2 linked regions of the Anolis sagrei genome follow. The protein of the gene in region 2 purifies or fractionates together with the protein of the main gene of each other region. This does not show direct contact. Links are inferred from orthologs where the notes say so. Each region holds a gene or a part of one and is shown on either strand. Other genes may lie near its edges.

Region 1 (3,751 bases), on a different chromosome or scaffold from region 2:
ATTCTGAACCCCACGAATGCTGGCAAACTTCCCACACAGAACTCCCATGAGCAGCAGAAGATACTTAAGGCCATCTAATCCAACTCCCTTCACCAGCGCAAGAAAACGTAATCAAAGCCCTCCTGACAAAGGGCCATCCAGCCATAGATATAGATATATATGATCCACACACAGAGAGAGATATAGATTTGAAAGCGATTCCACCAAAAAAGACAATTATATGTAGCATGTTCCACATTAGGCAAACCAGACAATCTCCACATCAACACTCACAAAGAAATAGCAAGAAATACTGTTTACCCACAAGCATAAAGACATTACATATATTAGAAACCAACACTTTCTCGTTACTTTATTTTCCAGATCACCAGACTGGGCCACAGCAACGTGTGGTAGGGGACGGCTTTTAGATATATAAAAGTCCCTTATATTATAAACAAGAATTCTAGAATATTATAATATAATAAATGGGATCCAAGTTTAAACAAGAATATAATATAATATATATGACCCAAATTTAAACAAGAATTCATATATATATGAATTCTTGTTTAAACTTGGATCCCATTTATTATATATTATATTCTTGAATTGTTATTTAAACTTGAGTCCCTTATATTTTATATTATATTCTTGAATTCTTGTTTAAACTTGGGTCCCAGATATTACATTACATTATGTTATATTCTTGAATTCTTGTTTAAACTTGAGTCCCTTATATGATATTATATTAATTATATTATTGAATTCTTGTTTAAACTTGGGTCCCTTATATTCCTGAATTCTTGTTTAAACTTAGGTTCCTTATATTGTATTCTTGAATTCTTCTTTAAACTTGAGTCCCTTATATTATATTTATTATATTCTTGAATTCTTCTTTAAACTTGGGTCCCTTATATTCTTGAATTCTTCTTTAAAGTTAAGCCCCTTATATTATATTAATTATATTCTTGAATTCTTGTTTAAACTTGGGTCCCAAACACACACGCACACACGATCCAAGTTTAAACAAGAATATATATGAAAAATAGGTGGCAAGGGGCAGTTCAAAATGGTCCCAGTCATTTTGTGAGTTTGTAAATCCATTTGCGGAATAATAGTCACTTGCCTCTCTTTGGAACACAAAGTGGATCCTTCCACCTCCCCCCCCCCCCACACCTCCGTTCACTACTTGGTATCTCCCTAGTTATGTTACAACACGCCCCCCTCCTCCTCCTGCCCTGGCGCGTGTGCGCATGCGCGCGCCTCCTCCCCCTCCGCCTCCTCCCTCCCTCCCTCCTTCCCTGCCAACCCCGCCGGAGCTCCTTAAGCGGGTAACCCGATATTCAAAAACAATACGTCATCCCACAATGCCCCGCTGCAAACGGCAGCCTAGGCATTACCTCATCCCACAATGCCCCGCGAGCGACGAAAGAAAGGGCGGGGCTCGTCGGCGGAGAAGCTTCTAGCCGGGTGGGGTGGCCATGGAGATGGGCGCCTTTGCTTTGCAAACGGGCACAGGCCGGCGGCAGGCCTGGCCCCGCCCCCTTCCCCTCCGCGAGGCGGCGGCGGCAGCCAATGGGAAGGCCGCGGGGTGACATCATGGGCTATTTTTAGAGAGTTACTGCTCGCTGATAAGTGTTGGGACTCCACGCTGAGAAAGAGCTCAGAGTTGAAGCAAGCGCGAGCGCAAGCGGCACGAGAGGGAGGAAGAGCCGGAGCATTCGCCGCCGCCGCCGCCACCGCCACACGGTTCCCCTCAGAAGGCGAAGAGGAGAAGGAGCCTGCCTCGCTTTTGGGACGCTCTGTGAGGGGAAGACGACGCCGAGCGGCCCTTCAGGGGGAAAGGCGGCCAAGGGAGAACCCTGAACTTCTTGGGGTGCCCTCCATTTTATATCAGCAGGGATTGAGAGGAGAGGACGCGTCGTGGCGCCTCATTCTTTCCCGACTGGACTCTGGGAACGAGACTTTTCCTCTCCTTCTCCCGTGTGCTTCCTAGAAAACTTCATTTCTCCCCCTGACAGCCGCTCCTGAGAAAGAAGGGAGGCTTCAACAAGTGTGTGTTTGAACAACTCGGCGCAGGACACTCCCACCAGGGACGGAGGGGGTGGGGAGCCTCCATACTTTGAGAAAAAGTAAGTTGTGCTGGACTTCCACTCTCTTTGCGCCTGGATTTCGTACTCTTGGAGATACCAGCCTCTCTTTACTCCCCAGAGGGAAGGGACTGACAAGCCAATGCCTTGTGGCGAAAAAGTAAGACTGTAATCATTGATTCTTCGAGTTCTCCCAGAATAATATTTTGTTGTTGTTGACTTATTTGGTGGCCAGCACTGACTCTGATAAACTTTTTTTTTCAAAAAGTGACTGAATTCGCTGCTTAGTTTCTCAACTGGAGGGGAGCAAACTTGTGGACTGTGTTCTATGACTGCAAAGATGGAACCTACATTTTACGACGATGCCATCAACGCGACCTTCGTCCAGCCTGAAAGTGGCACTTACGGATATAACAATCCCAAAGTCCTGAAGCAGAGCATGACGCTCAATCTGGCTGACCCGTCCAGCAACCTCAAGCCGCACCTGAGGAACAAGAACGCCGACCTGCTGACCTCTCCCGATGTGGGCCTCCTCAAGCTGGCTTCTCCTGAGCTTGAGAGGCTCATCATCCAGTCTGGCAACGGGCTGATCACCACCACTCCCACCCCGACCCAGTTCCTGTGTCCCAAAAATGTCACCGACGAACAAGAAGGTTTTGCGGAAGGCTTTGTCAGGGCTCTCGCAGAGCTGCACAATCAAAACACCATGCCAAGTGTTACCTCTGCTGCCCAGCCGGCCAACTCTGGCATGGCCCCAGTGTCTTCCATGGCTGGAAACAATGGCTTTGGTGCCAGCTTGCACAGCGAGCCTCCTGTCTACGCCAACCTCAGCAATTTCAACCCCAGCACCCTCAGCACGGCGCCTAACTACCCCGCCAGCAACCTGGGCTACCCTCCGCAACATCACCTGAACCCTCCCATGCCGGTGCAGCATCCCCGCCTCCAGGCTCTGAAAGAAGAGCCTCAGACTGTCCCAGAGATGCCTGGGGAGACTCCTCCCCTGTCACCGATTGACATGGAGTCCCAGGAGAGGATCAAGGCGGAGAGGAAGCGCATGAGAAACCGCATTGCCGCCTCCAAGTGCCGGAAAAGAAAGTTGGAGCGGATTGCCAGGTTAGAAGACAAAGTGAAAACTTTGAAAGCCCAGAACTCGGAACTTGCCTCCACAGCAAACATGCTGCGAGAGCAGGTTGCGCAGCTGAAACAGAAGGTCATGAATCACGTCAACAGTGGGTGCCAGCTCATGCTCACACAGCAGTTGCAAACTTTTTGAAAAGAGAGTGGGAAGCAAACTGCGTTGGGGTGAAAATTAAGCGAAAAGAAAGAGAGGTGGGAGTTGGGAAGCTCACCTGGGTTGTGGGGCAGGAAGACAAGCCGGAAAGGCATTGTTCCAGAGAGCGCTTCCACGACTCCCAACACCACTTCCAAAGCATGCATGGAGAGAAAGAGACTGGGTGCCTTTCTGTCTGAGGTGGTGGCATGTCAGTTGGAAGTACAGCTCTCCGAAGTGCTGTTTCTGCTCAGACAAGGCTACAGAAGCCTGGTGTTAGCTTTTTCTTTCTTTCTTTTTAACATTGACCAAGACCTGCATGGACCTAACATTCAATCATCATTCAGTATTAAAGGTTAAACTGCAGTAGATACTGTAGATTGCTTTCTCTTAGTACTCATTTTTTAAA
Region 2 (3,751 bases):
ACTCTATGATTCTATGACTAGATAGAATAAATCATTTATTGAGCTGTTTTATCCTGGTTTTAATCTTATTCGATGGTGTTCTAACTTTAGCACTGCATGCACGTTTAATAGATAGACAGACAACATAGATAAAACTGTGCTTGTGTGTGTGTGTATTTAAAATGGTTGTTAACTGCTTTCAAGAATGATTGACAACTGGGAAACAGAGGGAGAAAATGTGGAGGCCATGACAGACTTTGTATTTCTAGGAGCCAAGATGACTGCAGATGCAGACTGTAGCCAGGAAATCAGGAGACCCTTACTTTTTGGGAGGAGAGTAGTGTCCAATCTCGATAAAATAGTAGAGACATCAGACTGGCAACAAAGATCCGCCTAGTCAAAGCCATAGTATTCCCTGTAGTAACCTACAGATGTGAGAGCTGGACCTTAGGGAAGGCTGAGCGAAGGAAGATAGATGCTTTTGAGCTGTGGTGCTGGAGGAAAGTTCTGAGAGTGCCTTGGGCTGCCAGAAGATCCAACCAGTCCATCCTCCAGGAAATAAAGCCCGACTGCTCATTGGAGGGAAGGATACTAGAGACAAAGTTGAAGTACTTTGGCCACATCATGAGGAGACAGGAAAGCCTAGAGAAGACAGTTATGCTGGGGAAAGTGGAAGGCAAAAGGAAGAGGGGCCGACCAAGGGCAAGATGGATGGATGGCATCCTTGAAGTGACTGAACTGACCTTGAAGGAGCTGGGGGTGGTGACGGCCGACAGGGAGCTCTGGCGTGGGCTGGTCCATGGGGTCACGAAGAGTCGGAGACGACTGAACGAATGAACAACAATAACAACAACATTAAGGGGTCACGGCATTAGGATTGTTGAGAACCATTGTTCTAGAGGCATTTTCTCCTGACGTTTCGCCTGCATCTATGGCAAGCATAGATAAAACTGTGCTTGTGCGTGTGTGTATTTACAATGGTTGTAAACTGCTTTCAGGCCAAAAAAAACCCTGCTAGATATCCATCATCATAAATTAGCAAGGGTCACGTGACGGCAGCCTCCTCAGCACACCCTCCCCTCTCCTGCCGCCTTCTCCCGCGGGCGCGAGCTCAGGCGCGCTCCCGTCATCGTCTTTACTTCAACCCTGCCCCTTGCTCGCTCTCGGTCACGTGACTCGGTTTGTTGTCGTCGCCGCCGCCTCTGCTGAGGCGGCCCGGCCTTGTGTGGGCGTCGGCGAGGTCACGTGTCGCGCGAGGGGAGGGGGGAAGAGGAGGGGGGAAGAGGAGGAGGGCATCTCTGCCTCTTTCTTTCGTCAACAGCCGCTGGGAGAAGGGGAGGGGGAGGAGGGAAGAGGAAGAGAGGGAGGGGGGAAGAAAGGAGGGAGCCTCCGCTCCTGCTCCAAGATGGCGGACGAGGAGGCGCCGCGCCTCCAGCCCCGCGGCGGCCTCAGTCCCGAGCCGGCTCCGAAGCGCCTTCGACGGGGCTCGGCTGAGGAGGAGGCCGTCGCCGAAGGAGCCGCGGCGGAGGAGGCCCCCTCAGGCGGGAAGGAGGCCGCAGGAGGCGACGACAGGGGATGGAGCCTCCCCGAGAACGGGCCGAGGCGGTGGGGCCTGGGCCGAAGGGAAGAAGAGGAGGAGGAGGAGCGCCAACCGCCGCGGCTGAGCGGAGGGGAGGAGGCGGGGGCGGCGCGCGCCGGAGAGGAGGCCGCGTCGGGGCCGGCCATTGGCTGCGGGGCGGCGCAGTCTGCCAACGGAGAGGCCCAGCAAGGAGGAGGAGAGGCCGGTGAGTCTTCTGCGGGGTGGCCTCTCTAGCACAGTGGTTCTCAACCTGGGGGTCGGGACTCCTGGAGGGGTCGCGAGGGGGTGTCAGAGGGGTCACCAAAGACCACCAGAAAACACAGAATTTTCTGTATTGTCGAAGGCTTTCATGGCTGGAATCACTCAGTTCTTGTGGGTTTTTTCGGGCTATATGGCCATGTTCTAGGGGCATTTCTCCTGACGTTTCGCCTGCATCTATGGCAAGCATCCTCAGAGGTGAGGTCTGCTGGAGCTGGGAAAAAAGGGGGTTTATATATCTGTGGAATGACCAGGGTGACACAAAGGGCTTTTGTAAGTTGGGCTAGGTGTGAATCTTTTAACTGACCACCTGATTAGCATACAATGGGCTGAATGTGCCTGGAGCAAACACCTTCACCATTTGGAGCCATGGAGAAGAAGAACTCAACAGGTTCCTGGACCATCTTAACAGCATCCACCCAAACATCCAGTTCACTATGGAAAAAGAAAAGGAAGGAAGACTTCCTTTTCTAGATGTCCTAGTCATCCGTAAACCAGATCAACAATTGGGTGACACCGTTTACAGAAAACCCACACACAGAGATAGATATCTACATAAAAACTCGAACCATCACCCAAGTCAAAAAAGAAGCACCATGAAAGCCTTGAGTACTGACCACCTTAAGTAGCATTTGAGGGCTTTGCAGTGCCTGGGGGAATCTTTTGTTGAGAGGTGTTAAGATGTGCCTGGTTGTTTCCTCTCTGCTTTTTTGCTGTTATAATTTTAGAGTTTTTTAATACTGGTAGCCAGATTTTGTTCATTTTCATGGTCTCTTCCTTTCTGTTGAAATTGTCCACATGCTTGTGGATTTCAGTGGCTTCTCTGTGTAGTCTGACATGGTGGTTGTGAGAGTGGTCCAGCATTTTTGTGTTCTCAAATAAAATGCCATGTCCCGGTTGGTTCATCAGGTGCTCTGCTATGGCTGATTTCTCTGGTTGGAGTAGTCTGCAGTGCCTTTCATGTTCCTTGATGCGTGTCTGGGCGCTGCGTTTGGTGGTCCCTATGTAGACTAAAAAGAATTCTGTGTTAAACTGATAGTCTACTGTGTTCAACAGATTATTTAATTTGCTTTCTTTAATTTTCAGCTATTATGCAAAGTGTGTGAACTCTTACATCATTTCCCCCTTTGTATGGTGCAGATCATTTATATTCAAAGTATCAATCTATTTATTTAATTAGTAAAAGGTAAAGGTTTCCCCTGACATGAAGTCCAATCGTGTCCGACTCGGGTGTGGTGCTCATCTCCATTTCTAAGCCGAAGAGCCGGTGTTGTCCATAGACACTTCCAAGGTTTTGAACTGTTGGCAAAAGCTGGGGCTGACAACGGAAGCTCACGCTGTGCCCCGGATTCAAACCTGCGATCTTTTGGTCAACAAGCTCAGCAGCTCAGCGCTTTAACCCACTGCGCCGCCCGTCTGCTTTCTTCACCCACGTCTGAATGAAATTCTGCATGAAGCTGAAACATTCACACCTAGTTCCAACAGACAAGAGTTCTTTGTCCCACCCTGGAGTGCCTGCAGTGCTTTCATGTTATTTGAGAACGCAAAAATGCTCGACCACTCTCACAACCACCATGTCAGACTACACAGAGAAGCCATTGAAATCCACAAACATGTGGACAATTTCAACAGAAAGGAAGAAACCATGAAAATGAACAAAATCTGGCTACCAGTATTAAAAAATTCTAAAATTGCAACAGCAAAAAACAGCAGAGAGAAAAACAGGCAGGGACATCTAATCACCTTTCAAGAAGAGTTTGCTCCAGGCACAGTCAGCCCATTGTATGCTAATCAAGGTGGTCAGTGGAAAGACTCACACCCAGCCCAACTTACAAAAGCCCTTTGTCTCACCCTGGTCATTCCACAGATATATAAACCCCTTTTTTCCCATTTCCAGCAGACCTCACCTCTGAGGATGCTTGCCATAGATGCAGG

The links. Proteins that work in one complex are often made in the same cells at the same time.
Region 1: the proteins of SIRT1 (region 2) and JUN purify together in Homo sapiens (affinity purification with mass spectrometry; 4 studies listed by BioGRID and IntAct, with this or other methods). This does not show direct contact. The link is inferred for Anolis sagrei from reciprocal best matches to the Homo sapiens genes SIRT1 and JUN.

Annotation. Positions count from the first base shown.
Region 1 is NC_090024.1:169,479,453-169,483,203, forward strand, and holds the start of JUN (transcription factor Jun), read left to right. Parts: upstream 1-1,471; 5' UTR 1,472-2,400; coding exon 2,401-3,345; 3' UTR 3,346-3,751. UniProt on the Homo sapiens protein: Transcription factor that recognizes and binds to the AP-1 consensus motif 5'-TGA[GC]TCA-3'.
Region 2 is NC_090023.1:170,122,646-170,126,396, forward strand, and holds the start of SIRT1 (NAD-dependent protein deacetylase sirtuin-1), read left to right. Parts: upstream 1-1,345; 5' UTR 1,346-1,384; coding exon 1,385-1,763; intron 1,764-3,751. UniProt on the Homo sapiens protein: NAD-dependent protein deacetylase that links transcriptional regulation directly to intracellular energetics and participates in the coordination of several separated cellular functions such as cell cycle, response to DNA damage, metabolism, apoptosis and autophagy.